4 linked regions of the Notamacropus eugenii genome follow. The protein of the gene in region 4 purifies or fractionates together with the protein of the main gene of each other region. This does not show direct contact. Links are inferred from orthologs where the notes say so. Each region holds a gene or a part of one and is shown on either strand. Other genes may lie near its edges.

Region 1 (7,943 bases), on a different chromosome or scaffold from region 4:
AGAAGCCGGCACCTATGGAGCGTGCGGAAGGTGGCACAGCCCCCAACCTGATGCTCTCAATGGCTGTGGGCACCCCCATTTTACATAAGGGAGGGTGCAATCTGCCCAGGTCACCACCTACTGAGCAGAATCTGAGCTCAGACACCTGCCATGCTTGTAACCGTGGGCAGGGTTACCTGGGCACAGCTTGCCTCAGTTCTGTCCACGGAAAGTGGGGATGATAACAGCATCTATCTCCTGAGGCTTCTGGTGAGGCTCACATGAGGCATGCTACTTGCGAAGCACCCTATAAGCACTAGCTACTGTTGTTCTTCTAATGGTTGGAAGGAGTGGGAAACCTGCAGCCTGAAGGTCACATGGGGCCTCTAGGTCCTTGCATGCTGCTATTGTATTGAGTCCAGGTTTTACAGAACAAATCCTTTTAGGAAGAGGATTTATTCAGTGAAGTGTGGATTCAGACAAAGGGCCACACTTGAGGACCTAGAGGCCACATGCAGCCTTGAATTCTCCACTTCTGCAACCTGGAAAATTGGGAGGGGGACTGCACCAGGCAACCTCGGAGGCGCTGGGCCTACGAAGATATTATAAGGATTAGAGAAAAGGGGTCAAACTCACCTGCTGAAGCCTAGCTCCTTTTTATAACACCACAACACAGACGGCCGGGCCCTCACAGCCGCTTTTGACAACATATGATGGAGTATGACCACCTGCCAGAGGGAGGAGACGGCACAGGATCAGGATGGGAAACGGAATGAGACCATTTATGCCAGGGAGGGGAGGGAACTCCTGAAGAAGCAACCATCCATCAACTGACAAGCTTTCATTATGCACCTAGTACCCGTGAGGCACCGCTGCTTGGCAGATACAGAAAGAGACAGAAGACCACTCCTGCCCCTAAGGAGCTCACCACATAAAGACAAAACAGAGGAACGTGTGTTAGTGATAATGAGTATAACGGTGAGCCTCCGGAAACGCAGGAGGCAGAGGAGAAATCTGGAGATTAAGATTTCAGTTGTAAAGGCATCTAAATTCACCTGCTCTGTCCCCGTGCCTGGAATGTTCTCCCTCCTCACCTTCTTTTAGGGCTTTTCCCCAGAAGCCTTGTCTGATTCCGCTCCCCCCCCCCATTAGTCTGTATTTATATCTCCCCACAGAATGTCTCAGAGAGCAAGGACGGTGATCCTCCCCGGTGCCTGGCACACAGTAGGCAGGCCGTTAACAGATGGTGGAGTGATGCCTCTTCAGAGGGAAGGCTTCCCCCAGCACACAGTGATTCAGTCAGAAGCCTGAAGAGAGCCCAAAGCTACTGAAACAGGGGCCACCGAGCTGGAGGCTAGGCTGGGAGGGGAGGAGAACCTGGCCAGCCTCAGTTCTGTCACCTACACAACCAGGGCTCCGGGATCAACGATCTCTAAGGTCCCTTCCAGCCTTAGGGAGCCAAGGGGAACTGAGGCATTCTGTCCTCACTCGGAGAAGGGATCAGAAGCCAGCCCCCCCCCAGCCCCATCCTCCCACCTGGCCCGTCAGACACAGGGCTTGTCCAGGACCCCGGGGGGTTCCCGGGGACAGTCCCCCCCCCATCCTCCCACCCGGCCCGTCACCCACAGGGCTTGTCCAGGACCCCGGGGTTCCCGGGGTCAGTCCCCCCCCCATCCTCCCACCCGGCCCGTCACCCACAGGGCTTGTCCAGGACCCCGGGGTTCCCGGGGTCAGTCCCCCCCCCATCCTCCCACCCGGCCCGTCACCCACAGGGCTTGTCCAGGACCCCGGGGTTCCCGGGGTCAGTCCCCCCCCATCCTCCCACCTGGCCCGTCAGACACAGGGCTTGTCCAGGACCCCGGGGGGTTCCCGGGGTCAGTCGCCCCCCCATCCTCCCACCCGGCCCGTCACCCACAGGGCTTGTCCAGGACCCCGGGGTTCCCGGGGTCAGTCCTCCCGGCCAGGGCTCACCTGGTCCTTCCCACGGTCGCCCACCAGGACGAAGAGCGAGCGCTGCCGCTGGGCCACGCCGTTCTCGATGAGGACTCGGATGCGGTTGTCCACCTTCTTCCTCTGCATGGCGAAGGAGGGCCCTGAGGACGAAACGGGCACACGGGGGAAACTGAGTCAGCCCCCCACAAGGGCCGGCCGGACCTCCCGGCCCTGGCACCGACCCAAGGTGGGCAGCTTCGGAAACAAGGGGGCGCTTATGGCAAGGAGTAAAGACCCCCCCAAACAAACCCCAACAGCCCGGGAGTGTCTGTCATCTGCCTCCCTTACAGATGGGGAAACTGAGGCAGGGCAAGGGGGGGCTTGGAAACACCGGGCCCAAGGGGGCTGGGGTGGGGGTGTTACGAAGCACCCGCCCGCAATCGCTGGGACGCGCCCGGGGTCAGGGGTGGGCGGCAGGGTGGCATCACAGGCTAGCTCACAGGAGCAGGGGCTGGAACAGCAAGGCCGCGCCGTCCTCCCTTACTTTACAGGAGCGGAGGCCGAGGCGGGCGGGGGTCACGGCTCCAAGGCCGACAGATCCCCTAGAGGACACGCCCACGGACGCTCCGGTCCCCCCCGCACTCCGCCCGACCCCGTTACCTCCCGGGCGAGCACAGCCTGCGAGAAGCCGCTTGGGGTGGGCCAGCCGGAAGCACGTGGAGCTTACCGCTCGTGCGCAGGCGCCACGAGGAAGGCCCCCGGGCCCTCGGCAGAGGTGGTCACGGAGGCGGCCTAGAGCGAAGGCGCGCAGGCCACGCCTCTTATGTCCTCGTGAGCAGGCGCGCTCGGGCGGCCCCGACGGGGACCTACCAGGATCGCGTCGCCCTCCAGTGACGTCACCCCCCAGTATCGGCGGGGCCCCACGAGAATTCCTCCGCAGAGCTCGGTGTCCCGAAAGCCTTCTCCGGTCTGGCGTCCTACCTTTCCCTTTTTTTGCGCCGACTCAGTCTCGCGCTCGAAGACCACCGGGATTTTTAGCCTTCCTTCCCAGTATTCCTCTCTGCTCAAACAGGGACGGTGGATTTCCTCCCACCTCCAGGCCTTTGCATTCGCCGTCCCCGGGGTCCCGTCCGAGGAAGCCGCAGCCCCGCTTCTGGGGGTCCCCAGGGGAACTTCCTGGCAGCCCGCGTGGTGGCTCCTAACCACCGCTCCCCCGCCCCAGGTCTCCCCGGGTTCACGACTCGCACCAGGCCCGCCCGTGACACCGAGCTGGTTCCGTGCATTCCCCTCCCTGCTCCCGAGTCCGGGCCACAAACAGTCGGACTCATTGAGCACCGGAACCCCAACCTGCCACCCCCCGCGTCAGGACAGAAGGCCGACACTGCACATGGTCGGCTCGCACAGCCGAGGGAGGGGAGCCGTGGCCCCTAAACAAGGGTGTTTCTTGCCCCCCACTCCTCCGTCTTCGTCCCTCAGGTCCCCACGGACCGCCTCCTGCACCCGCTCAGCAAGTTTTCAGTAACAACTTGTGCTAACGAGCTCCAGAGAGACAGTTTCCAAGGAAGTGCAAGCCTCTTGGCAACATTGTAGCACGCACAACAGGGACACACGCAAGCTTCGGAAGCTCCTGACTGCTGAGCTGTTGGGAGGACATTCAACCACGAGTTACTAGTCAAGTCTCCAGATTCTTTGAGGGATACAAAGTTAGTCCTGACCAAGGTATGTCAACGACACTTTTCAACCACGCTAAATAAAACAGATGCTCCACCACCCAGTCAGAGGACTTGTTTAGTGCACATCCATAATCTATACCAATTCCGGATTCACCAGGACATCACTGACTTTGTAATACACGTTTTCCTGCTGTAAAAACGGAGCTGCCTAAAGATGACTTTTCCATTGTTGTTGGTGAAGAGAACAGACCCAAGTGGGTGCAGACTGACGTGAAAAACTCAACAGATTTGTTAGGGCAATGCGACCACAACATGTAAACATTTAAACCAATTCCTGCTAGACAATTTCTGCAATTATGAATATGCAAGCTATACTTCAACAATGATCTTGGAGTTCAGAGGACCTTACAATCAAAATGGGCCAAACAACGCATTTTCTTAGGCAAAGTAGTCATTGTATACGCACGTTCAACATAGGCTTTTCCTTTGACAGAACCTGACAGACCTCATAGTTGGTGTAGCCTTTAAAAACACAAGGTCACCACCATGCCATGATGAGGCATCTACTTAAAACACCATGCTTAATAAAAATAGCCTTGCTTTTAAATACAGACCTTAATGAAGCTTAAAAATTTCTAATGACATGAATTGGTTATGTGGGGGAAAAAAAAACTGTGTTTTTAAGTGCAACAGGTCGTCTCTTCCCCGCCCTCCCTCCCCCAAAAAGAAAAGCTGTACATTTGCTGGTGCACATACATGCATGTGTATCTGACAGACCTCAGAGTCCTGATACCATCCCTGGGGGAAGACAGCACTATTTCATCATGTTAAATGCCCTAAATATTATTTAAAACAAACCCTGTGAAGGCACCTTCTATACAAGCAGCAAGTTTTTTCCATAGGAATGTTAGCTATCATGTTACTAATAAAATCCACTATATTTATCAGCACTTATATATGGTTGTGGTACATCCTTGCCAGATATGATTTAATTAGGGGAGAAAACTGGCCAAGAAGCCTTCTTGCTTATCAAAGTAAACAGATAACCCTTCCAATAAGATGTACCACAACCAAAAATGAGAAAAGACAGGAACTTATTTTATTTTAAAATAAACATTAAAGACACCCCCCCGCCCTTCAACCCCAGCCCCTTTACAAAACTTCTGAATGTGGAATGTTCTCAAGAGTCCTTCAATAGCCTATCATTTTAGTAGATTACAAGGTCAGCAAAAGTCCAGTTTTCTAACAATGAGTGTTTTAAGAATGGTTTCAAAAATTAAAGCAACTGAAAACCTACTCGTCAAATTACTGAGCTGAAGGCTGAAAACAAAATCCAGTTTCTGGACTACAAGTATCATTAACTTAGCAGCCTTTGCTTAATACATGGGATTAATTCAACAGGAAGCCAAAGTGGGATGCAACAGCAAGCAGCAGAGAAGTCCACAGGCACGTCGAAGTACAGCTAGCACTCCAACTGCACACAGGAGATCCAACATAGCATGAGAGAGGCTAAGTCACTACTGCACTGGGCACCCCCAGGAAACCTGGGGGGATTCCTCATGTAACGGAAGAGATCACTATTGTGGGCAAGACCAAAGCCTTGAAGAAGAACCGAACTCCATTCATGTGGGTAATTCAAGAGAAAGCAGTAAATGCAGGTACACAACAAAAGCTGTAGGAAAACCTCAGTGGAACAGGAGATAACTGAAACTTCAGAGACAATGAACAACTCTATGATCTCAACTGCGTATGTCAGCTGCTCAACACCAGTGTTCCAGGATACAATTTTTATAAACACGTTTTATTTGTTTTAATTATACCATTAGAACTGAAACTGCTGGCTGTCATTTCCCTTAAAAGGGGAAATCGATCCAAACACATCCTGGTGCTTTTCAAAAGATAGCGATTTTAAAGGGCGGCAGCGGCAGGCGTTTGATATCCTTTTCTTTTAAAAACCTTCAGGCTGCAGAGAGAGACATGTGACCCAAAGTGTTATGTTTATCCATTAGAGATTTCCATCAGTACCTGTACCAATTACTTAGATGACAATACAGCAAGGTCAAGTATTAGTGACAGACAATGTGCATGTCATAAGGAATGATAAATATATAGTACCAATCCTTACAAAAGTCATTGCTATCAAAGAAACTGTTAAATGTGTTCCAAAAGGTATCTAAATACTTCACATTAAATACAGAAGCGGCCATCCAGATTACATCCCATATTTGTTGCAGATTTTTTTAAAGTGCCAATCAAAGCCTAATTTTGCATTTTGGCTTTGTCTTGTACAATATCAGCTGTTACAAAGCAATTTATGTGTATATATTTTTAACCACAGTAGTTTGGCCTGGTGATGAATAGTGCTGTATCAAAAGTAGTCAGCCTTATTTGTGTAATTAGGGACCCATGCATCTTTAGTATGCATCTAAACGTTCATCGCTCCAATTTAAACCAGAAAAAGCGGTGAAATGCAGTCGCTCTGCCAAACCACACTCCACTCTTTCCATCTTCCTTTCATGGGAAATATTTTAGTTTTTGTCAATTACCATCAAAACAACAACTCTAGGGCTGATTTGCTGATTTTTATCCAATGCCAAAAATGAGTCAATCTTGCTTTTTTTCCAAGCCACTTCAATTATAACCATGGAGACCTGATCACCCCAAAAGTGTGTGTGTTTTGCTTTGCTCCTAAGCAAGGGTGAGGAATCTGAGTATCATGTGCAAGGCTCAAGATGACGCTTAGGACAGAACATGCAGAGTAAAGATCGTTTCCTTCCATATCCAGGTAACATAAAGCTGACAACTCTAGTCCTGTCTTTATGGGGTGAAAACAGTCCCTTTACCAATGAGTTTCCTGAAAGGGAGAACAAATAGATAATAACTCTTCTGGTAACATGTTATGGGACACTGGCCAGTGTGTTTTTGGCGTTTTAAACGTAATCCTGTGAACCAGTTTAATTCACTTGCTGAGTGTTCATTGGCGGCATCCCTCGGTTGGGTCTTGGGGGCCCTCCACGACCTGTAGAACAGAACAAAACAGGCTTTTAGGTCTTCTCACACACTGGTATTTCAATTTCTCTTTCAAGACAAAATCCCAAAAGATAGACACAGGCATGAAATGCCAGGCCTCAAAAGCCTTTCTCCATGTATTGAAGATTTCTTCTTTTACAGATTTCCCTGTGCATGTTTACTCAAATCTCTTCAGCTCAACTGATCATTGATATTCATTGTTCATTCCAAAAAAAACAAAAACAAAGCAAATACTTTCCAATATAAACACCAAAAGGAAAAGAGAGTAACTTTTAAGAAGAAAATGCACAGCATTCACTTAAAAGTAGGATTGGGTGGCTGTGCAACAAGGCTACAAACCTAGGTTCTGTCCTATTACAATCAGGACCAGGATTGTTTTAACTCGAGTTCCTTTCATTTGTTTAGCTAACTAGCTCCTAGTTATTAAACACCCCAAGACAAGAGAAAAGAAAATAAGCCTGATGCAAATATTGAATACCCTGTGGCATACTCACCCATCTGTCATGGCTACCCCACTAATTCTCAACTCATCTCTTCTTTACAAAAGATGTTTATAATGGAACTGAACATTTTCACCAATGACTACGCTACTCTTCCCAACATACTTGGCACACATCAGTCAGACTGTACTATGGTCACCTTTTCTGCCTCAAGGCTCTTGCTCTCATTTTCATCCAGAACAATCCCCCAAAGACCAAATGCAAACAGCTGTGTTCTCTGAAGCCTTCCCCTACCACCAAGCTGGAAAGTGATCCTGGGGCACAGCCCTCTCATCACCCACTCACTTGTAAACTCCCTTTCAGAAGGTCTCTCAGAGAGAAGGGCAGACTTTAAAGTGGAAGCCCAGTGTTCAAATCCTCACTTTGTCATGTAACAGTAAAGACTGATATTTATGCAAGACTTGTTAAGGTTTGCCCAGTACATTACAGACCTCTCATTTTAAGGTCATCATAATGTCAATACCTACTATGATAGGCAATTCTTTCATTTTAAAATGAAGAAAAATGAGGCTCAGTGACATTAAGTGACAAGTCACTCAAGAGTGACAGGACCCAGAATTCCACACCAGGTCCTCCTCATTGTAAGACCAGCTCTCTAGTCACTCCACATGACCACTGTGCTTCTCAATAGCTGTATTTCTATGGATGAGACATTGAGCCTCCAGGGTCTCTAAAAAAAGGAAAAAATGACCCTGTATTGCCTACCCCTCACGGGGAGGATGTAAGGAAAATTATTCACTAGTCTTAAATTACTATGAACTTGCCTGTACTATTCATGAAACCGGTAGATTTATATGCAGTGGGTAACTTAAACAAAGTTAAACTACTA
Region 2 (7,320 bases), on a different chromosome or scaffold from region 4:
CCTCAATATAAACACAAAACAAGTGCTGGGTAAGTGATTTCAATAACTGAGAAGTCTGGAAATTTCATTTAAGTGAAGTGTTAGAGAAAACAATCAGAACAAAGACTATTTTGTATATGCTATTAAGTCACAATTGAAACAAAATCTTTAATCTGTCCTAAACCTAATAGTGTGGGAATCTATCAAGGTTAGAAAACTACACCAGTCTTAGCAGGCACCTTGCAACTGGCAAAGACCTGTGCTGTCTTTCTACAATGAGTATAAATGCATAAACTATATAGAAATCCCACAGAATCAGGGGCTTATTCAGAATGACAAGCTGAATTCAATGGCTTGAATTAAGTGTATCTATTAACCATTCTTATAATAAAAGATTTAGAGTTGTGGGGTTTTAGCCAATAATCCCTTCATCTGTCTGAGTGAGGGAAAGGAAGCATGAACTCCTGTCTATTAAGAGAAGTTGAGTGAGTTTGAAGACATAAGAAAAGATGCCACAAGTCTGAATCCATCCATCCAAACTGTTTTCAAACCAATTCCCTCAAATATGATGAAGCAGTCCTTAATTTAACTAGCAATCATCTTAACATTCAGATTTAAACATGAAGACTGAGGACAACTAAGATAACAATCTTTTCTCTAGCATCTCATTCACCACTTTCTCCTTTGCAAATACAGTTATTACTAGAGGCTAGATTAGAAACAGAAATTTGTGAACACTTTATTTTCACATTTCTCTTAGAATATTTTGTATTGTAGTTATGGGTTTATTTTATCCCTTTACTAAAGGACATAACATCATGAAGCTTAGGTTACATCTATCATAGCATTATCACTATACTGTTCTGCAGAGTAGATCTAACATGTAGAGGGAAAAAAGGTCCTTACTGCTAGAAAAAAACATTGTAGGTTCAACTTTTTTTTTTCCTACCCTAAACCTAACCCCCTTCTCCAAGTCCAATACACATACACACCTTCCCCATGCCATCTAGGGAAGATCATCTTCACATGAGCCTCCCCTCAAAAAAAGGGTATGTGGGTGTGTATCTGCAGGATTTCCATGTTGATGATTTCACATTTTTTTTTCCACCCAAGTTTTGTTTACCGAAGCTCAGAGGCAGAGAACAAAATGCCCATAGGGGATAAGTTAGGGATACAGGAAAAATACTTATCTAACAAATTCCTAGGACTTATTACCCAGGGACACTTTCTGGCAACCAGGACCCGACACACGCACCTTGCCCCTTCCCCTGCCTCCCCTTTAAGAGACTCCCCCAGATGCCTTCCAGGAGGATAATGAGGCATATTTTAGGCAAATCAAATAGCATCAATTTGAATTACATTCAAGCTTTTTTTTTTCTTGCCTATCCAAAGGGATGTACACTTAACTTTTTAATCAAGCTTTCTTACGCCCAATGGATGTTCACTGGATGCACCATTCGGGGTGCGGGTATACTCATCCACCAATCCTTCACTGTTTACTCAGGTTTTCACCAGTTCCACCCCACCCCCACTAACAGCTCCAGAAGCCAGGTCAGAAAAGTGAAGTATCAGGGGAGTGGCATATGTTTTTCTACACCGGCATCTCACACCCACAGACTAACTTTTGAGTTTAAAAGAGTGAATGACAGCACATACACACCCTTTAGTCATCTTATTCGCCACCCACACACAAGCATACACACCTTAGTACAGCCCTAAACACCGTCAACAGAGGGTAACGAGAGGGGAGGAGGGGGAGCACCATGTGGCCAAGTCTTTAAAGGATTTCTATTCCCGTCCAACCGCCAGCTCTCACCCGTTTTCCTGCCAGACATTCCAGGATAAAGCTGACTACCATCCACATTAACAGGGCTTTGTGTGGCAGCAGTTGTGACACACATGCGGGTCCTAAAGCGGAGGGCTGGGAGCCCAATCGGCTGGGTTAGCCGGGGGGATTCTCACTGTGGGGGAGGGCCAAGAACAGAAGATGGGAAGCCTCGTGTCAGCGAGTTAGGAAGGACTCTCCGACAGGAAAGCAACACCCCTCGGTCGCTAAGATGCGTGGCTCGGACGAGGAGAAGAAATGGCGCCTATCCCACGAGGGAAAGGGCGACCAGGGCCCGACACACGCACCTTGCCCTCCCCCAGCTGCCCTCCAGGACAAGCGCGCTCGGCGCTCCCCACGGGAAGGTGGGCTTCGAGCCCCTTCCCCGGCTTTTCCCTCCCTCACAAGCCCCTCCACGAGGCTTCCTCCCTCCTCTCTAGGGGTAGGACTGGGGCCGACCGGAGCCCACAACCTGAACCTGGCTGGGGGCGCGGATGGAGCAGAGCATGTGGACCGCTCGGGGTGCGCGCCCCTGGGGCTGGGGAGGGGGCGGACGCTCGTCACGCACGCACGCACACAGCCGCGCACCCACACGTGCGCACACTCACACGCGCGGAGCCCGGCTGGGCAGCACGTGCTCGCGGCTCGGCTCCGCACTCCTGCGGACCGCCCACGTGGAGCCGCGACCCCGGTGCCCCACGCGCCCGGGGCTACGGGCTCTCACCGAGAACTTTCTTCTCCGGGTCTTCCGTGGTTGCGGAGGCGGCGGCCGGGCCGGGGGCCGGGGCGGGGGCCGCGTCGCCGCCGGGGTGGCTCCCCTGGACGGCGGCGGCCGGGCTGGCGGCCGCGGGGGCGCCGCTGCTCGCCGGGCTCTTGGGCGCGGGTTCCGGGGCCGCCGCCGGGGCCGCCGGGGCCTGGGGCTGGGGGGTGGGATCGCCCGCCTCGCTCATGCCGCCGTCCGTCGCTCTTCTCTCGGCCACCCGCGGCGGTTGGTCGGCGGTTGGTGGTGGTGGTGGTGGTGCCGGCAGCGGGGCTGCGGCGGCTGCTGGAGATGTCGGGGGAGGCAGCCCGGGGCTCGGAGACGGGGCCGGTTTCGCGTCAGCCGTGGACGCGGGGATGTTGCCAGCGGCGGCTGGAGCTGTCGGGGCGGCGCGCGCACTCGATCTTACTGCCCGGAAAATGGCCCGCTCAAGTTTTTCTAGGTGCTCGGGAGAGGGGGGGGGGGGGGGGGGGGAGGGGGAGGGAAGAGGCGGGCCGGGCGGGGCGGGGCGGGGCGGGGGGGGGGCCGAGGAGGGAGGAGAAGCTCGGGCTCTCTGGCTGCCGGCCCTGGTGAGCCCTCATTAGCATTTAAAGGGGCCGCCCAGGGCCCTGGGGGAAGCATCGTCTCCCTCCTGGACGGGACTCCTGCTAGAGTTCTGAGTCTTGGTCGAGGCTACCGCTTGACCCCAAGCCCGAGAACTTCTCGTCTCCTTTCTAAGCGTGGGCTGCTCGCAGGGACGGGCGAGGTCGAAGAGCCGCAGTCCCCAGCGCTGGAGGGTGTGTGGGGAGGGGGACCTCGGAGCTCATCTAGGCCAAACCGCAGGATTTGAATTCCCTTCCCTGCGTCCCAACGGGATGCAATCAGACCCGAGCTGTCCTCCCTCCCAGCACACACACGCACATTGATAATGTTGCCGCTTTGTAGATCTAACTCCTTGAGATTTGGATTGAGATCCTTCGATTTCGACTCTTTTCTGTTAAAGCACTTGATAAGTTTGGGGGATAAAATACAACTGGAGAAACTGAGTTCCAGAGAGACTGAGTGGTTTGCCCATCAAAGTCCTTAGTAGAGGAAGTAGAGCCGCTCCATGACTCAGTACCGGGCCCCTTGCCTCCACTATTCCATTACTGGAAGTGAGGAGGTAAGAGGAGTGACTGTGCTTGCACTCAGGACACCAGCGCCCTGGCCACATAGACTACCTCTTTTAAGATGTTTTCTGAAAGATCCTCAAACGGTCCAGTTTCACAGGATCTTAGTATTAGGAATTTAGAAATCAGGCACTTTCAAGGAAAATTTCAAGGACATGACACTAACTGGAATCCGAGGATTTCTGCTCAGATCCCACCTCTGACATTTGCTACATTCTTAGTCGTGGACAAGTCGCTTAATTCATCTGTAAATTGGGGCGCACACACACACACACACACACTCACTCTATTGCTGCTTTGTAGACTGCTGTTTTTCTTTGCTAGATCTAACTCCTTGGGATTTGGATTTACATCCTTCCATTTCTACTCTTCTATTAAAGCACTTGATAAGTGTTGGGGATAAAATACAATGAATGGATTAAACCTTAAAAAATTATCATGTATGGAACAACAATGTTTCAGAAAGCATGAAAAGCTCACTCAGGATCACTAGTTTGGGTACACAAAGAGTTCGGTCCTTAGAGATCCTAGCCCCATAAATAAAAGTGGAGCTCTTCTCCAATCCCAGCACATTACAACCCCCCACTCTGGATCCCTGTGGAAAGTCTCTTAAATCTTAGGGGTTTTCATGTCTGTCTATGGTTTTCCCCAAAATGAATTTTAAGGATGCAAAGTAGACCAGGAATAAGCTATTCCCTCCACAAGAAGAAATCCTCAAAACACAGAAGATACAAGCGTATGTTAACAAAGCATGAAACAGTAATTCCTTTTACACCATCCTGAAACACTGAAACATGATACACTTGGTGGTCTTGCCTGCCAAGCAAGCATTTCATTTCCACCTTGAATCTGCACTGTCTGAGCAGCTCATACTAGGTTTGTATCTTCTGGTGGACCATAGCAAGGCTTGGGCTTAATTTCCTGTCAGTAATCATCCTCTCCAAGGAGCATCATAGTAGCTGCAGAAGACAGCTGGACAAGCAGCACCCAGCTCCTACTGACTTCTCAAACTCACAAGGCTGCTGCCAAGGGGAAGAAAAAGCCATATGTCTAAATCACTTTTCAGTCACCTGGACTCGGGGCAATAAAAACAAAGAAGAGTCAAGTACTGGAGGTGTAGGCTCAAGTTCATCAGAGAAAACATGCTCTCACTGCCATGTATGAGCAGCCACTGATGTGCAATCCTCCTTCCTTTCTTCCCACCACTTTGCTGGAAGTCTGAGAGAGTTGCACACACAGAGTTACTTGACAAATGACAGAAAGACTTTTCCTTTTGAAGTCTATTTAGTGAATTATCTTTCCTGGGCATGTGACTTATTCTCCCAGTTCTGGATTTTTTTTTTTTCCCTTTTTGGAGGAAAGGTTACCAAAACCCCTTGGTTTTATGTATCCATTAGCAAAGGATTGCCTCCTCTGCCCTATATCTCCCATGCTCCAATGGGACCATCCCCTTCTTGATGGTATATAATTAAATGGTAAATTGCAGTACAAGTGTTACAAGTATATAGAGAAGAAACGGCACTGTGAGTACCTGAAGTCAGAGGAAAGCCCTTGAACAATGAGTAAAATTTATGAATGAGGGGAAAGTATTGAGTCAGAAGACCTAGATAATATCCCCAGTTCTGCCACCTATTAAACCAATAACTCTGTTTTCCTGAATCTCAGTTTACTCATCTGTAAAATGGGAATAATAATTATACTACCTGTGTGGCAGACTCATGAGGAGAGGGCTTTTTAAAGTGTTATATAAGTGTGGGTTGTAGGTTGTTGAGTAGTATGAAAGAGGGAGGGAGTGTATGTAACATGATCTAAGGCACAGAGGGAGGAGTAGGCATGACTTGTTTGTGGGACAGTGAGGAGTCTTGCCTGGGGGAGGGGAAGGAGATAGAGAAACGTGTTGAACAGTAGTGAGAAATAAAGTTGGACTGACAGAGTAAGGCACTTCAAAAGAATTTATACTCGATGAACTGCAATGCCACAAAGATTTATAGTTTAAAGAGAACTGTGCTGTCTTGGGGGGGAAGTGGAATAGAGTTTAGGCAAAAACCAGTCCCTGCCTTCAGAAAGATTATAGTCTGTAGATAGAGTTATAACACACAATTAAATGACAATAATTGAGAGTTTCAAAACAAAGGACATTGGACATTAGAAATTGTGAATCAAGATACTCTCCAAGCTAGTCATCCTCATTAAATCCAGGAAGAGAAAGCTAGCTACTTTTCTGGAATTAATTTTGGGAACTAATTGCAAACTTTGAAGCCTTCTCCAGTTTCTTTGATTCATTTATCCAGAACAAAACTAATTCACACATTTCTTCCTACCTACCACTCCCAAATAGCTTTGGCTCTAATGTCATTTTGGTGGCTGAAGAAACTGCTTAGGGTGGATAACAGAATTTACTAACTATAAAAGATAAGAACCGGTGGAGAAGCTGGAAGTCCAGCCATCTTTATCTTCAACTGTGTTTTCCACTTTGCCTGGGGAAAATATGCTAAAATATCCTGCTTAAAGGTCTCCCACGAAACCCCAAAAGACTTGAATCCTTTAAAATGATAAATTTCTCCCAATCAACAAGTATTTGTTAAGGCTTACTATAAGCCAGGCGAAGCACTAAACTCTAGGGATACAAGACAAATTGAAATGGTCTCTGCTCTTTTGGAGTTTAGAATTTAGGTTGAGGAGAGAGGGACATCAAATGCACATATAAGTATATAGATACATATTAAAAATGAATAGAAAGTGTTTTGGGGAGTAATAATACCAAATTGCCTTCATCATGAGTCTGTTGGTTTTGCATGTACTGGAACTATTCTCTCTTTTATCCTATTCTTGTATTCTAAGATAACAAAAAGTAAAATATATTTATAGAAAACGAATCAGAAACACAAAAAATGTAAAAGGAACTCTCTTCTACGTGTAATACTACTGATCATACCTATGTTATGTATAATAGATATAATAATACCTATTATGATCTAACGTTTGTTAGATCATAACCTCCTGACACGCAAGTCATGTTTTAGCTTAGCTGCTGTGTAGGGAATAAAGCTACAGTAGAGAAAGCACTGGGCTTAGCATCAGGATGACTCATCTTCCTGAGTTCAAATCTACCCTCAGACTCTTCTTAGCTGTGGTAGGACTCTGGTAAATCATTTAACCCTATTTGCCTAGGTTCCTTATCTGTAAGATGAACTAGACAAGGAAATGGCAAATGACTCCAGTATCTTTGCCAAGAAAACCCCAAATTAGGTCAGAAAGAGTTGGACACAACTGAAATCCCTGAACAACAATAGCTACTAGCATTTACGTAGTGCTTTAAGGTTTGCACAGAACTTTGCAAATATTATCTCATTTGATCCTTATAACAACCCTGGCAGGCAAGTGAATACTACAATATCTTCCTATAAAAACTTGATAAATATTATTCTGATTTTAAGTTTGATTAACTATAATCAGGCTACTGGAGACTGGCCAATATTCATTGGCCTTCTGGTCCAAAGAGGTAATTATTGTTGTTTAATATTGACAAGCATTTGTTCTGCATGAGACATGTTTGACCAGGGAAATGGAAGACCAAATTCGTTTACAAGCCAAAGCCTTTCCTTCAG
Region 3 (7,494 bases), on a different chromosome or scaffold from region 4:
TGAATATCTGGTTCAATAAATTGTTTCTTAGAGAAAAGTAGTTTGCTTTGCTGAGGTTCTAAGCAACAGATCTTTTTTTAATGGCAAGGCAACCATTCTTTTAATTGAGGAGAATCACAATAATGTAGCTCTAAAGCACAAAAAATATAGCAAAGGCATCTTTCTCAATTTTTATCCTCTATTGTTGGCTCCATCGTTTAATTCTAATAGAGTACATAGCATTTCTTCTTCAGTGTTTCCAGAATTCCTCCTATAGGCAATAATGTGACATGAAGTGGAAGACCATAAAAATGTTTGGTGAAGTTCCTGAAGAAATTGTATGAGAGCTAATGTGGTGTTTTTTCTCTGCCTACATCTTTCCTTTACATGCACATCATCTATATCATCAACTGAGTACTATATACACACAAAGATTGTAAAGCCAATAAGGTCCATCACATTTATTTGCCTCCTGGTATCTCCCTGATTTCTATGACTAATACATTTTATTCACTGAAATATCAATTATCTTTTTCTAGGAAAATGTTTTAGCAGAAGGCAACATTTCATTCAAAGTAATTGAAAGAGAAACCTCACTTCATTTGACTATAATAACTACTAAAGTAAGAAAACTTATGAGGAATATTATGATATATTTAATTTAAACATTGGATTGTTTTCTTGGCTAGGTGTATTAATTCCTTTATGTCACTTGTTCTGTTTCCAAATATTTTGGTTTTATTCCCTTTATAAATTTAAATGTGTCATAAATTGGAGAAGGTCTCCACTGAGAATTTGTAGAATATCTTCCAAAACCTTAATGAAAGTGTCAGTATACCATTTCTTTGTCTTGAAATAAACTATGCCATTTATTGAGAAAAATATAAACCTCAAAGGGAAAGTGAGGAGGAACTTGTGCTTTACATGCAATTACTTGTTTCTGGATATTCAGACCACTGCATGCTGCCATCATTGTTTTCACATCCTGTCTGTCTATTCTTCTTATAATAATGTAGTCTATTAAATGCCAATGCTTTCTGTGAGGGTGCATCCATGAAGTTTTAGCAGATTCTATTCCAGTTGAGATTTACAAAGTGGGGGTGGGGCATCCATTGCTTATACAAAAGCTGACTGAAGTTTTCTGGGTTATATGCCAAGAAGAGGTTAACCCCCAGTAATGCAAGAGTAACTCCATTGTCCCCTTCTATAATATAAAGGAAATAAATTGCCCTGTGACAATCACAGGGAGGTCTCTCTCTTCATCATTGTTGGCAAGATTCTTGCCAGAGTCCTCCTTAATAGGCTGATTCTTTGCCTGGAAGATGGTCCTCTACCTGAGAGCCAACATGGCATCAGAAAGGGCTGGGGAATGACTGATCTGGTTTTTAATGCCAACAACTCCAGGAGAAATGCCAAGAGCAGAACAGATATCTGTATACAACATTTGGCAAGCTGACCAAGGCTTTTGATACTGTCAGTGTGAAGGTTTATAGAAAATTATGTCAATATTTAGTTTCCCAGAGAAGTTCATCAATATTGTACATCATTTTCATGATAGCATGTTTGCTTGGGTTCTGGATAATGGATAATGGTGCTTCTGCTTTCCCAGTCACCAGTGGAATGAAACAAGACTGTTTGTTTGCTCCCATGCTTTTTGACATGTTTTCAGTAATGTTGTCAAACACCTTCAATGAGGATGAACATGGCATCAAGGTCAGCTACCACACTGATAGTAAATTATTCAACTGAAAAGTCTAGAAGCCAAGACTAAAGTAGAGGGACGGTTGGTGCATGATGTTCACAGACAATTCTGTACTCAATACAGCCTCTGAAGCTGAGATACAATGAAGTATGGATCAATTCTCTGCTGCTTGCACCAATTTTGACCTAAAAGTTGACCTGAAGAACTTTGGAATAGATTGTGTGACATGGGAGATACTGGCACAGAACAGCCCAGTATAGTGTGCCCTCATCAAAGAAGGTACTGTGCTCTGTAAGCAAAGTAGAATAGAAGTAAGTCATAGTAACACATGAGATGCACAAAATTTAGAGAATTCATGTCACATGTTCACATGCACTATTTTTGCCTGAACTATGGTAGATAGTGATGTAACTTCAATCCTCTTCAAGAATGAAGGACAACAACCAACCAAGTAACAAAGTTCCCACTCAGCTTTGGTGTTTTCAGAAATGCTTAAAAGTCCTTCATTCCATTAAAGATCCATTCCTCCCTGATTATACTCGGCTTTGTAGGGTGTGCTATCATTAGCTATAAGCCTATTATCTTTTGCCTTTTATAGTAATTTTACTCCAAGAACTCTTCTCATTTTTCCATTGAAGCTGTCAGATCTTGTGAAATCCTTACAGTCATTCCATAGTACTTGAACTGTTTCTTTCTAATCACTTGATATATGTCTCTATTTCTGTCTCCAGACATGGGGTACAGCTAGTGCAAAGGCTTGGCGATAGAAGATGGAATGTCATATGTGACTTCAATTTCTCTAGACTGCAGAAGGCAAAAAGATGAATAATGCAAACAAAGCTAGAGAGGTAAGTTAGGGACATATAGTTAAATTCTTTATAATATTTTATTTTTCCCCAATCACATGTTAAATTTTTTAACATCTTTTAAAGTTTTGAGATCCATATTCCATCACTCTCTTCCTCCATCCCCTTCCCTCTCCACAAGACAGTAAGCAATCCAATATAGTTTATATATATTCAATGATGTAAAACATTTCCATATTAGTCATTTTGTACAAGAAAACTCAAATAAAAACATGAAAGAAAATGAAATGCCGCATGTTTCAGTCTGAATTCAGGTGGTATTAGTTCTCTCTCTGGAGGCAGATAGCATGCTTCATCATGAGTCCTTTGGGATTGTCTTGGATTATCATATTGCTGAAAATAGCCATGTCATTCACAGTTTTTCACTGTACAATATTGCTGTTACTGTGTATAACATTCTGCTGGTTCTGCTCACTTTATTTTGCATTAGCTCATGTAAGTCTTTCTAGGTTTTTCTGAAATCATCCTGCTTGTCATTTCCTATAGTACAATAATATTCCATCACAATTATATACCATGGCTTGTTTAGTCATTCCCCAACTGATGGGCAACTTCTTGATTTCCAATTCTTAGACACCACAAAAAGAGCTGCTATAAATATTTTTGTACATGTATATATGTCCTTTTCTGTTTTTTATAAAGATGTCCTTTATAGACCTAGCAATGGTATTGCTGGATCAAAGAGTATGCACAGTTTTATCCCTTTTAGGCATAGTTTCAAATTGCTCTCCAGAATGGTTGGATCAGTTCACAACTCTACCAACTATGCATGTGTCCCACTTTTCCTACATCCCCTCTAATATTTATCATTTTCCTTTTCTGTCATATTAACGAATCTGATAGGTATGAGGTGGTACCTCAGAATTGTTTTAATTTGAATCAATAGTGATTTAGAGCATTTTTTCATATGACTATAGCCTTGTCCTTTGTCTGAAAACTGCTTGCTCATATCCCTTGACAATTTATCAATTGGGGAATGACCCATTCTTACAAAATTGACAAAGTCCTATATACATTTGAGAAAAATGGCCCTTATCAGAGATACTTGTTGCAAAAACATTTCCGTTTTCTGCTTTCCTTCTAATTTTGGTTGCATTACTTGTGTTTGTGCAAAACCTTTTAAACTTTATATAATCAAAACTATCTCTTTTACATTTTATAATGCTCTCTATATTTCCTTCGTTCATAAATTCTTCCCTTATCCATAAATCTGACCAGTAAACCATTCCATGCTCTCCTAATTTGCTTATAGCGTCAGCCTTTATATGTAGACCATGTCCCCATTTGGACTGTATTTTGGTATATGGTGTGAGATGTTGGTCTACACCTAGTTTCTGCCATGCTGTTTTTCCAGCTGCTGCATCAGATTTTGTCCAATAATGAGTCTTTGTTCCAAAAGCTTGGATCTTTGCCTTTATCCTAGGCTAGATTACGGTAGCAATTTACTATCATACAACGCGTACCTCATCTTTCCCACTGATCCACCACTGTATTTCTTAGCCAGGACCAGAATGTTTTGATAATGATTGCTTTATAATCAAGTAAAGTTCTTTAAAAAACCAAACAAAAGAGTCCTGATTCTGAAGACGTTAGAGAACCAAGAGTTTATTGAATAGGGGAATGACTCGGTCACAAGAAGAGGTAAGAGAATCCTTTAAGACTCTCAAGGAAATGTCAGAGGATGAGACCCCCTAGAGGACACTAGAGGAGTCAGGAGAGGAGCCAGGAGGCGCAGTCACTGACCGGGGGCTCTCTGGACTCGTTTCTTTAGCCCCCACTTTCAGGGAGGTGGATCATGCATAAAGCATGCACAGTCTCTACATCCCAGGACCGCTCCCAAGCTCCCCAGCATCCTCGGAGAGCTCCCTTGCCCCTCCCACCCGCCGTGACGAGCTGACGTAAGACTACGTCACGACGCCGCGGCGTCCGGTCTGGGCGGCGCCGAAGTGGCCGAGAGCTGCGGCGCCCCGGCTAACTGTGGCTGGGCACCCTGCGGCTCCCAGGCGTGCGGGGCCCTGTAGTCCCCCGGTTTTCGGTTGCCCCCGGCCCCCGTCCCTCTCCATCTTGGCGCCCCGTAGGCCTCCCCCGAGGCTCGGTCTGGGTCCCGCCTCCCCCCGCCTCGCGCCCCATCCGTCAGTCAGCGTCCCCTCAGCGAGGTCGGCGGCGGCTCCCATGTCCAGGCCGAGCAGCGTCTCCCCGCGGCCGCCGGCCCCGGGCGGCGGGGGCGGGGGCGGCGGCGGCGGCGGGGTGTCCGCTCAGTGCGGCTCGGGCTCCGGCGGCGGCGGCCGGGCCAAGGGGCTGAAGGACATCCGCATCGATGAGGAGGTCAAGATCGCTGTCAACATCGCCCTGGAGCGCTTTCGTTACGGAGACCAGAGGGGTGAGTGCGGCGGGCGTCCGGCCTGGGCGCGGGGCTGGAGGCGGGAGGCCCCGAGGGGGCTGGAGGCGGGCCTTGGACGTGCTTGGGCTCGCGTCCGCGGGGGCTCCGGGGACCTCCGCAAGCTCGGGACCCCTTAGAGGTGGGGGTCACGTAACGGGAAGTCCGGGGGGCACGGCCCGAGGAGGCAGTGCACCGGTCAGATAGCAGCAAGGGGGAATTGGGCAGGATGCACCGCGTCTGTCCAGCTCCGCCCGTTCTACCAAAAGTGTATTTATTTATCATTCGGTGCAGTGAGAAGCCGCGACCTGTCAGGAAGACTAGCGGGGCTCGGACCTTCACCTCTGGGAGCCGGGCTCGTCCCTCGAGTTTTGGTGCCCGTATCTGTCAGGTGTGGAGGTCGTGTGTGGAAAGAGCTGAAGTTTAGGGCTGCCCAAAGGGCGTGAGAGTGCGCCTTCCCTCTGGGAGAGAGCCTCTTGTCTAAAAAAGCCTTTTTATAACTGTGTTCCTTATCATTTTATATATTTTATTTTATGTATTTGAACCGTTATTCTGAGAAAGGGTCCACAGACTTCACCAGACTTCCGTAAGACCCCCCCCCTGTAGAATCTTCCTGTGCAAACAGTCACTTACTCAGAGGTCTTGAACACGTCTGTGCTTCCATCAGTGTAGGGAGCTCTTGATAAGTGTCTCCCCCTTCCAAAGCAGACTTCAGAAAGTAGCCCAGTGCTCTGAGATGACTTGGCCAAGGTCACACAGGCAGAAGGAGGACCAGGACCGGAGCTTGGCCGAGTCCTCCTTTCTCCTCACCTTGTAAAAGGCCCAGCCCAACCAGCCTTGATTTTCCCAGTTGTACCCATGCTTCCCCACCTCACATGCTTCCTTCTCCCCGCTTCATTTCACCTCCTCTTTTAGGTGTTATTAGAATGTCAGCTCCTTGAGGGACTATCCCCTTTTTTTTATATCGCCAGCATTCATATAGTGCTAAACGATAATAAGCACTTAATAAATGCAAACTGTGCAGTAATTCTAAGTAACGCTTTATCTAGGACATGCATGCAACAGTTTTTTTCCTTGAATTATCTCTAACATGACCTCCCCTAGTGACTTGCATTCACTAAATGTTTTGAATTGTCAAAGTATCTAAATGTTTGGGTTGACATTTCTCCATTTTTTAAAATATGAGCCCATGTCAGAAGTTCAAGGAAGAAGAATTTTCCCAGACTTCATAGAACTTAGAATCATAAATTATTAAAATTGGAAGTAAAAAGTGGAAGTACAAATAACTACAGTGCAATATAGAGAATGTGTGTGTATATATCTATCTAGATATATCTATCTATCTATATATACGTATATATGAGAGAGAAAATGCTACAGAGAGAAATGACTACAATGCACTACAGAGAATGAAAGTATAAAGTGTTCCATCAGGTCAGAAAAGGGATTGATTACTTCCAACTAAGGCTGACTTCTTGAAAGAAATAACACTGATTTAGGCCTTGAAAAATAGGTAAAAATTGAAGAGTTGGAGCTAGAGAAGAAGGGCATTGTAGCTGTAGAAACACTGTTTAAAAGGATAGAGATAGGAAACCAATGTGCATGTTTAGAAAGTTAACAGGTAGCTCAAATGAAGCTTCAATTCTGAAAAGACCTTTAGGGTCTCCTGTTGCATCCTGGGCCATCTCCAGTCATCTTGATGAATGTCTGATCATTGGACCCAGAAGACTCAGGAGGAGAAAGTGAGGCTGGTGACCCTGAACAACCCTCCCTCACCCTTAAAACAAAGTCAACTGCAAGTCGTGTCATCATCTCCCTGATGTCATGGTCCTCTTCTGGAACTAAGGACAAACACGACACAACAAATTCTTTTGGACCATATTGGTGGTATACATATAATTGCTTTTTCATTGCCAGGCTTAACATTTGGGTGATGTGTTTGAAGTAATGATATAAGGCCTGACTTAATAGTAAATGCTTATTGAAGTGAATTAATTACTTGTACTTACCATCATGTAAACATAGTAAAGATAAATGAGGTTTCAAGTATATTATTTTAGCCAAAGCTAAATAAAAGAATTTTTTTCTTCCTCATATGTGACCATTTAAAAGAATACATTTTTCTTTCTCTAGAAATGGAATTTCCTTCTTCTTTAACCAGTACTGAAAGAGCTTTTATTCATCGATTAAGTCAGTCTCTTGGTTTGGTCTCTAAAAGCAAAGGGTAAGTTCATTTATCTTTTCTTATCAAAGAGAAATTTCTGGCTACTTTTTATAGTAATATATATCTGTGGAAGGGGGGAGGGAAAGAGAAACACTTCTTTTACTGTGTCTGACTTTTCTGTATACCCATACCCATATTTTCTTCCTGTTTCTTTTATCTCCTTCCCAATTTCTTCTTCCCCAGGGGGAAAAAGGAAGAAAGTAGTTAAATCTTACCTTAAAAGAGAAAGATGGTCTTGACTTGATATCAAAATAGAAATGTTAAAACAGGAAGTGATTTTGTAAATATAGCTAGTTGAATCCCCTTATTTTGCAGATGGGAGAAATAAAACCTGAGAAGTGAAATG
Region 4 (6,980 bases):
CCAGCCTAGGCATGAGCTGGGGAAAGAGGAGCCGCCTTTTCTGAATTGCCTCAGAATCACCACAGGGTGGCTCCCCAGTGTTTTGAATACGATGTGTAGCTGCAGTCATACATCGGTAAATCCTGTAGCAGAAAGCACTCTTGCAAAGCCACTATTAACTGACACATTAAATAGGTTTCTGTGTTCTGGGGCGAGGCCTAAATCGTAAATGGTGGATTTCCTACATTCCATATAGAAAGTATGGTGGGTTTTTTTCTCGCGTTCCCTGTAACAGTCAATTCATTTCTAGGACATGTTTTAAAGAGGAGTTCAAATTCTAAAATTCTATGATTTTACGCAGAAAGGCTAATAGAACAAGATTATTTTATCATTAAGCAAAGATTCAGAAATGGGGATATTTAAAGGATTGTTATAACCAAAGAACTTAAAACCAAATGCCCAACCTACTGATGTACACATATGAATTTTTCTTTTTTATATACAGGCTAGTCCTCTAAAAATAATCTGTTACTGGGCCCTTACTTGGAACCTGCCAGAACTCTCAGCCTCCACAGGCTTTCACGACTCAGGGTTACAGCTCTGCTAACAGAGTAGGGGTTCTTCACTTCCTCACATCTATGTCTATAGGGCTGAACTAGTAGAAACTGATTCCAAACACAGGTCAGCTATAAGGAATTTAAATAAAATTCTATATTTGAGGAAGAATTTTCTGGATTGAGGATTGTTTGGGAAGAGATCTATTTGTGATTATTTAAGTAAAATGCTTTGGAGAGGGAGATTAGATTGAAAATGGACCAGTTCTCTCTTGCTGCATGGTTTATTTTCAATCAATCAACATTTGTCTAATTCAATTGATTTAATGATTGATTTGGTTGATTGACATGTTTGCTCAATCAATGACTACTATGTGCTAAACAATGTATTGAGCACTGGAGATACAAGTAAAGAACGAAAGATCTACTTGCAAGACATTTACATTCTGACATGTATTTACAAATATGTTGTCAAAGGCTCCGTACTTCACAAAGACCAGATATCCATTTACTAGTTCTTGTAAAATCGCTGCTAATCATCAGCTAGGTGGCGCAGTGGACAGAGCACCAAGCACAGGGTCAGGAAGACTTTTCTAATGTGGCCTTGGACATTTCCCAGCTCTGTGATGATGGGAAAGTCACTTAAGACTATTTACCTTAGCTTCTCTTCTGTAGAATGAGCTAGAAAAGGAAATGGCAAACCTCTCCAGTATCTTGGCCAAGAAAACCCCAAACACAACTGAACAACAACTGTTCTGGGTGTTTTAGGGGTTTGAGTTTTCAAGATTTTTTTTTTTTTTGCATCCTGCCCTATAGCAATAGTTTTTTAACCTGGGTCTGTGAAGTTTTTTTTTTTTATGTTAATAATTGTATTTCAATGTAATCGGTTTCTTTTGTCATCCGATGGATTAGATTTTATGCATACAAGCCCAATACTCTGAGAAGGGGTCCTTAGATTTTGACATATTGCCAAGGGAGTCCATGACACATAAAAAAGTTAAGAAAATCTGGTCCAGGACAATAGGCATCTGTGGGCATATTTTCATGGGGTCCCTTAGCTCTGCCAGGGAAGAAAATTACATTTTTATTTTCACTAAACTCTATCTGAAATTTATCTTTTCCTTCCATTTGAACGTAGGTTAAAAAAACCCAACATTCACCTGAGAGGTGCTCTATCACACCAGACCTACCAAAGGGGACCATGACCCAAAACAGGTGAACCCCCTCTCTAAAGGATCTTTTGTTGTTGTTCAGTTGCATCCAATTCTTTCTGACTCCATTTAGGGTATCCTTGGGTCGTTTGCCATTTCCATCTCTGGTAGATCAAGGCAAACAGAGGTTAAGTGACTTTCCCTGTGTCACACAGCTGGTAAATGTCTGAACTCAGGCTTTCTTGACTCGAGGCCCAGTACTCCACCAACTAAGCCAGGTTAAGTGACGTGCCCAGGGTTTACTCAAACCTAAATCCACAGAACAAACACATTTGAAGAACCACAGACCCAGATGAAGTCTTAAGATTGTTCGTTCCTGTCTCCACATCATCAAGAAGATACATTAGTTTCTCTAAGTCCTTCAGGATTGACTTCTGCCTTAGTCCCTTAAGGATCTCAAAGCACAGAAGTTGGGTGGAGGGGGACCCCAGGTGTCAATACAGTCTAAAATACCCTTACTACAGAGATGAGAAAACTGATGAGCAGAATAGTGATCACACAGGTAATAAGCAGAAGAGTTGAGATTCTCTTTGGCTTATCCCCCACCCCTTGTAGTCTCTACCCCCTAACTCTCGGGTTTCCTTCAAGTGGCAGTGCCATTCAGTTGTAAGCTTGAGGGTGGGGACCATCTTTTGTCTCTTTTTATATCCCCAGGGCTTAGAATGGTGCCAGGCATTTGGTAGGTGTTTAATAAATGTTTTTTGACTGATTGCCTCCCAATTTATAGCAGTCAGAATTTGTGGCTATTCACGTAGTGCTTATAAAATTTGCAAAGCTTCTGTGTTAACTCCTTTTATTATCACTTATAGGGTAGCTAGGTGGCACAGTGGATGGATTGCCGGGCTGGGAGTCAGGAAGACTCATCTTCCTGAGACACTTACTAGCTGTGTGACCCTGGACAAGACACTTAACCCTGTTTGCCTCAATTTCCTCATGTATAAAATGAGCTGTGGAAGGAAATGGCAAACCACGCCAGAATCTTTGCTAAGAAAAATCCCAAATGGGGTCATGAAGAATCAGACACAATGGAGATGGCCAAGCACCAAGACCAATACTTCTTCACAGAATTCACCCCCCCCAAGACCCTGCAGTGAACCCACCCGCAACAACACTGAAATACAGTACACCCAGACACCCAAACAGTCACAAACAACACACAGATATATGCACACAACACACACAAGACACAAACAATACACTCAAACACAGCTACACACAGACACAAACAATACACGCAGATATTCACGTGCACACAACACACACACAAGACACAAACAATGCACACAGATACTCACGTGCACACAACACACACACAAGACACAAACAATACACGCAGATACTCACGTGCACACAACACACACACAAGACACAAACAATACACAGATACTCACGTGCACACAACACACACACAAGACACAAACAATACACGCAGATATTCACGTGCACACAACACACACACAAGACACAAACAATGCACACAGATACTCACGTGCACACAACACACACACAAGACACAAACAATACACGCAGATACTCACGTGCACACAACACACACACAAGACACAAACAATACACAGATACTCACGTGCACACAACACACACACAAGACACAAACAATACACGCAGATACTCACGTGCACACAACACACACACAAGACACAAACAATACACAGATATTCACGTGCACACAACACACACACACAAGACACAGAGATACTCACGTGCACACAACACACACACAAGACACAAACAATAGACGCAGATACTCACGTGCACACAACACACACAAGACACAAACAATACACGCAGATACTCACGTGCACACAACACACACACAAGACACAAACAATACACAGATACTCACGTGCACACAACACACACACAAGACACAAACAATGCACACATACTCACAGGCATGTAACACAGACACAACACACATAAATAATTCACACAAAGATACCCACACGCAGATAACACGTACACACGCCACACACGGACACCACACACGTAACAGTCACAAAGACTGAACACACACAACACACAGATACACACACAGCACTCCCCCCAACACAAACACACCGAGGACGTTCTGGAGGGGGATCACCTGGCTCGGCAGCAAGCCTCGAGTTTCGAATTTTTCCCGCGCAGGCCGATGACGCGCTGCTCCGCGACGAGGCCCCGCGCAGCCGCTCGCGTGCCCCGCCCCCGCCCTCCGAATCCACCAATCGCGCGGCTTCTTCCGGTCCTGGCGCGCGCGCTCTCGGAGCGACGCCTCCGGTCGCAGAGCGCGTGACGCGCGAGGCCCAGCAACTGGGAAGAGCGGGGAGGAGGCGACGGTTTCGGAAACTCGCCGCGTCTGGACCCGTTGCCTGGGGGACTGAACTGAGTAAGTGGAGAGGTCGAGACGCCCCACGCGGGATGTCCCGCGAGGGTCAGGCCCCGATCTGCTTTATTATTCCGGTAGACTTCCCTTCCCGCATCTTCCCAATTACCTTCCTCTAACCCCCCTACACTTCCCCTCAGACCCCCTCCTCCTGCCGTTTGTCAGGTCGCATGCGCAGACGGGGGCCGGGCGTCCCCGCCCCCTCGCAGTCTGGGGGGGCGGGGTCTGATCCCCGAAGACACGCCCATCTCCCTAGTCTATCTATAAATATTCAGCGAGCACGGACCTTGACCAGGCTCTGTGCATTCCCTGGGTTTCATTTACCGCCTAATCTTTCAGCACGCATTTATTAAGCGCCACCTGTGTGCCAGGTCCTGTGCAGTTAATCCCTTTCGCTTTTATTGGGCTCCTGCCCCGCCCGCCTTCATCCTGGCCTCCTGGCTGCCTTCAAGGCTCCGCCCTCCTCCCACTTTGGACCCGAAACCTGGCTGGGTCTGTGTGCTGGGTGCCTTCCCCTCGGTGCTTCCCTCCAGGTGGTCGGTCCTGTGTTTAACTGTACATATGTGTGTGGGTACATGTGCATATACATGCGTGTGTGTAGGCACATACGTGTATTTGTGTACATTTGTGTATGTATGCGCATGTGTGTATATAGTTCTGTATATGTGTATATATGAATGTGGTGTGTGCATGCGCATGTGCATATACGTGTATATTTGTGTGTACACGCATGTATATGTGTGTATATATTGGTGTGTGTCTATGTAGAACAGTACAGGACTCTTTTTTTTTCCTTTCTTTGCATTCCCAGGGCTTACCATGATGCCTGGCACAATATAAACCTTAAGGTTTATACCAAATGCTGGGTGACTGGACTTGCCTCCCTTTAATTTGCCCTTAATCAGTCCACGAGATTTCATGACACCTGTTTCAGACACTTAGCATTCTGTAGGTTTAATTTGCCATTAAATCAGCAAACACTTAGTTGATGTAATGGACATGAAGTTGTAATAAAAGTATTGAAGTCAGGAGACTTGGGGGGCAGCTGCATAGAGCTCTAGGTCTGGAAGACTTGAATTCAAATGTGGCCTCAGACAAGTTACTAGCTGTGTGACCTTCCAAAAGTCACTCAAGTACCTTTTACCTCAGTCTCCTCCTCTGTAAAATCAAAATAATAATAGCACCTGCCTAGCAGGGTTGTTGTGCAAGATTAAAATAACATTTGTAAAAGGCTTGATTCGTATTAAACACTATATATTATTATTATTCCCAGCTCCATTACTTTGCACTGGGCAAGAAGTTGTTCAGTCTGGTTTCTTTCAGTCATGTCTGACTCATGATCCCATTTGGGGTTTCCTTGGCAAAGATACTGGAGTGATTTGCCATTTCCTGCTCCTGCTCATTTTACAGGAAAAAAAAAAGGAAAGAAAGGCAAAAAAGAGATCTGCACTCAGGAAGATGAGTTTTCCTGAATCCAGGCCTGGCATCTCACTGCTCTACAAGTTCAAATGTGACTTCATTTAGTGCCGATGGGATCTTGGGCAAGTCACTCAACTTCTGCTTGCCTCAGTTTCCTCATATGTAAAATGGAGGTAACAAGAGCATCTACCTCCTAGAGTTGTTGTGAGAAATGGGATATTTGTAAAGTGTTTCGTACATACTAAGCATTACACAGGTGCTGACTGCTGTTTTTATTCATCCTGGGTCTGTTACTTGCCCAGCTAAGGCACTGAACAACTCAGGCTCAGTTGTTTTGCCTTCCGAGCTACAAAAACTTTAAGTATGAGATTGGTGATGGATCCTTTTCTTATCTGAGACGTAGCCTAGTCACATTCGGACAGATTCATCCCCAGCTTGACTGTAGAATGTTGAATTTTTCATACCTTGCTACTCAGGAAGGTCTAAGCACAAAGGCCATGATGTGCATTAATATACCCATACAGTTAATTACAGATCCTTGAAGGAATAAAGCAGGGTTTGCCTGGTATACTGGTGAGACACAAAAATTACTAAAATTCCATTTCTCTTATTTTTTTACTTCTTTCTGAAAAGTAAAATGGTCCAGAGCATTTGTATTGTTGAAAAAAGATGTCACTGAGATAGTCCCCAAGTAAATTCGTTTTAGCTATAATAAAAAAATTAAAATATAAATAAAATACAAACTATAAATAAAAATTCACCTAACTCCAATAAAATAGATTAGTGGATGAGATATAAGGGACAGTGTAGCAAGATTTTTTTTTAAAGAGTCATTAATTTCCTAAGTGGAAATAACTAATATGTTGTCAGAGACAACACTTTTGTTGAGCTGTGCATATATTGGAATATACTGGAAGCTGAAAGAATAGGAACTTGAGGGCCCATACCACAAGGGAAAGTGGTACTGCCAATTTGTCTGCTGTCAATGATATAAAGGAAATGTGACATTCCTTTGTAGAAAAAGATAGCATATCTGTATATCATTTTAAAAATAGATTACTGTACCTTTTGATTTCTTAGACTTGTTCTTTCAAGTTGAAGGTAGACTTCATCATCGGTATATGGATTTTTTAAAATAATATTTTTCCCAATTACATGTAAAAACAGTTTTTATTAGCTTTTTAAAATTTTGATTTCTAGGTTCTCTCTCCCACTTCCCCCCTCCTCTTTCCCTAAGACAGTAAGCAATTCAATATAGGTTATACATGTGCACTCATGCAAAACATATTTCCATATAAATATGTTTTAAGAAATATTCTTACAGTTATGAGAGCATAACAGGTCAGTACCTGTCTTTATGCTTACCACGTAGAATTGTCCTGTCTTTTTTCTGTTTGCTACTTAATAGCAGCATGACTTTCAAAAAGTCACATA

What was found.
Region 1: the proteins of LARP7 (region 4) and NAT10 purify together in Homo sapiens (affinity purification with mass spectrometry; 3 studies listed by BioGRID and IntAct, with this or other methods). This does not show direct contact. The link is inferred for Notamacropus eugenii from reciprocal best matches to the Homo sapiens genes LARP7 and NAT10.
Region 2: the proteins of LARP7 (region 4) and YBX3 purify together in Homo sapiens (affinity purification with mass spectrometry; 3 studies listed by BioGRID and IntAct, with this or other methods). This does not show direct contact. The link is inferred for Notamacropus eugenii from reciprocal best matches to the Homo sapiens genes LARP7 and YBX3.
Region 3: the proteins of LARP7 (region 4) and YTHDC2 purify together in Homo sapiens (affinity purification with mass spectrometry; 3 studies listed by BioGRID and IntAct, with this or other methods). This does not show direct contact. The link is inferred for Notamacropus eugenii from reciprocal best matches to the Homo sapiens genes LARP7 and YTHDC2.

The regions. Positions count from the first base shown.
Region 1 is NC_092877.1:17,332,533-17,340,475, forward strand, and holds the start of NAT10 (RNA cytidine acetyltransferase), read right to left. Parts: upstream 3,021-7,943; 5' UTR 2,893-3,020; exon of another isoform or gene 2,572-2,892; intron 2,073-2,571; 5' UTR 2,059-2,072; coding exon 1,951-2,058; intron 708-1,950; coding exon 616-707; intron 1-615. Other genes in the region: CAPRIN1 (caprin-1), read right to left, coding at 6,539-6,603. UniProt on the Homo sapiens protein: RNA cytidine acetyltransferase that catalyzes the formation of N(4)-acetylcytidine (ac4C) modification on mRNAs, 18S rRNA and tRNAs.
Region 2 is NC_092874.1:199,786,136-199,793,455, reverse strand, and holds the start of YBX3 (Y-box-binding protein 3), read right to left. Parts: upstream 3,008-7,320; 5' UTR 2,755-3,007; coding exon 2,529-2,754; intron 2,393-2,528; exon of another isoform or gene 2,277-2,392; intron 1,941-2,276; exon of another isoform or gene 1,881-1,940; coding exon of another isoform or gene 1,796-1,880; intron 1-1,795. UniProt on the Homo sapiens protein: Binds to the GM-CSF promoter. Seems to act as a repressor. Also binds to full-length mRNA and to short RNA sequences containing the consensus site 5'-UCCAUCA-3'. May have a role in translation repression.
Region 3 is NC_092874.1:347,280,658-347,288,151, forward strand, and holds the start of YTHDC2 (3'-5' RNA helicase YTHDC2), read left to right. Parts: upstream 1-4,473; 5' UTR 4,474-4,719; coding exon 4,720-4,927; intron 4,928-7,057; coding exon 7,058-7,148; intron 7,149-7,494. UniProt on the Homo sapiens protein: 3'-5' RNA helicase that plays a key role in the male and female germline by promoting transition from mitotic to meiotic divisions in stem cells.
Region 4 is NC_092878.1:117,255,334-117,262,313, reverse strand, and holds the start of LARP7 (la-related protein 7), read left to right. Parts: upstream 1-3,967; 5' UTR 3,968-4,130; intron 4,131-6,980. UniProt on the Homo sapiens protein: RNA-binding protein that specifically binds distinct small nuclear RNA (snRNAs) and regulates their processing and function.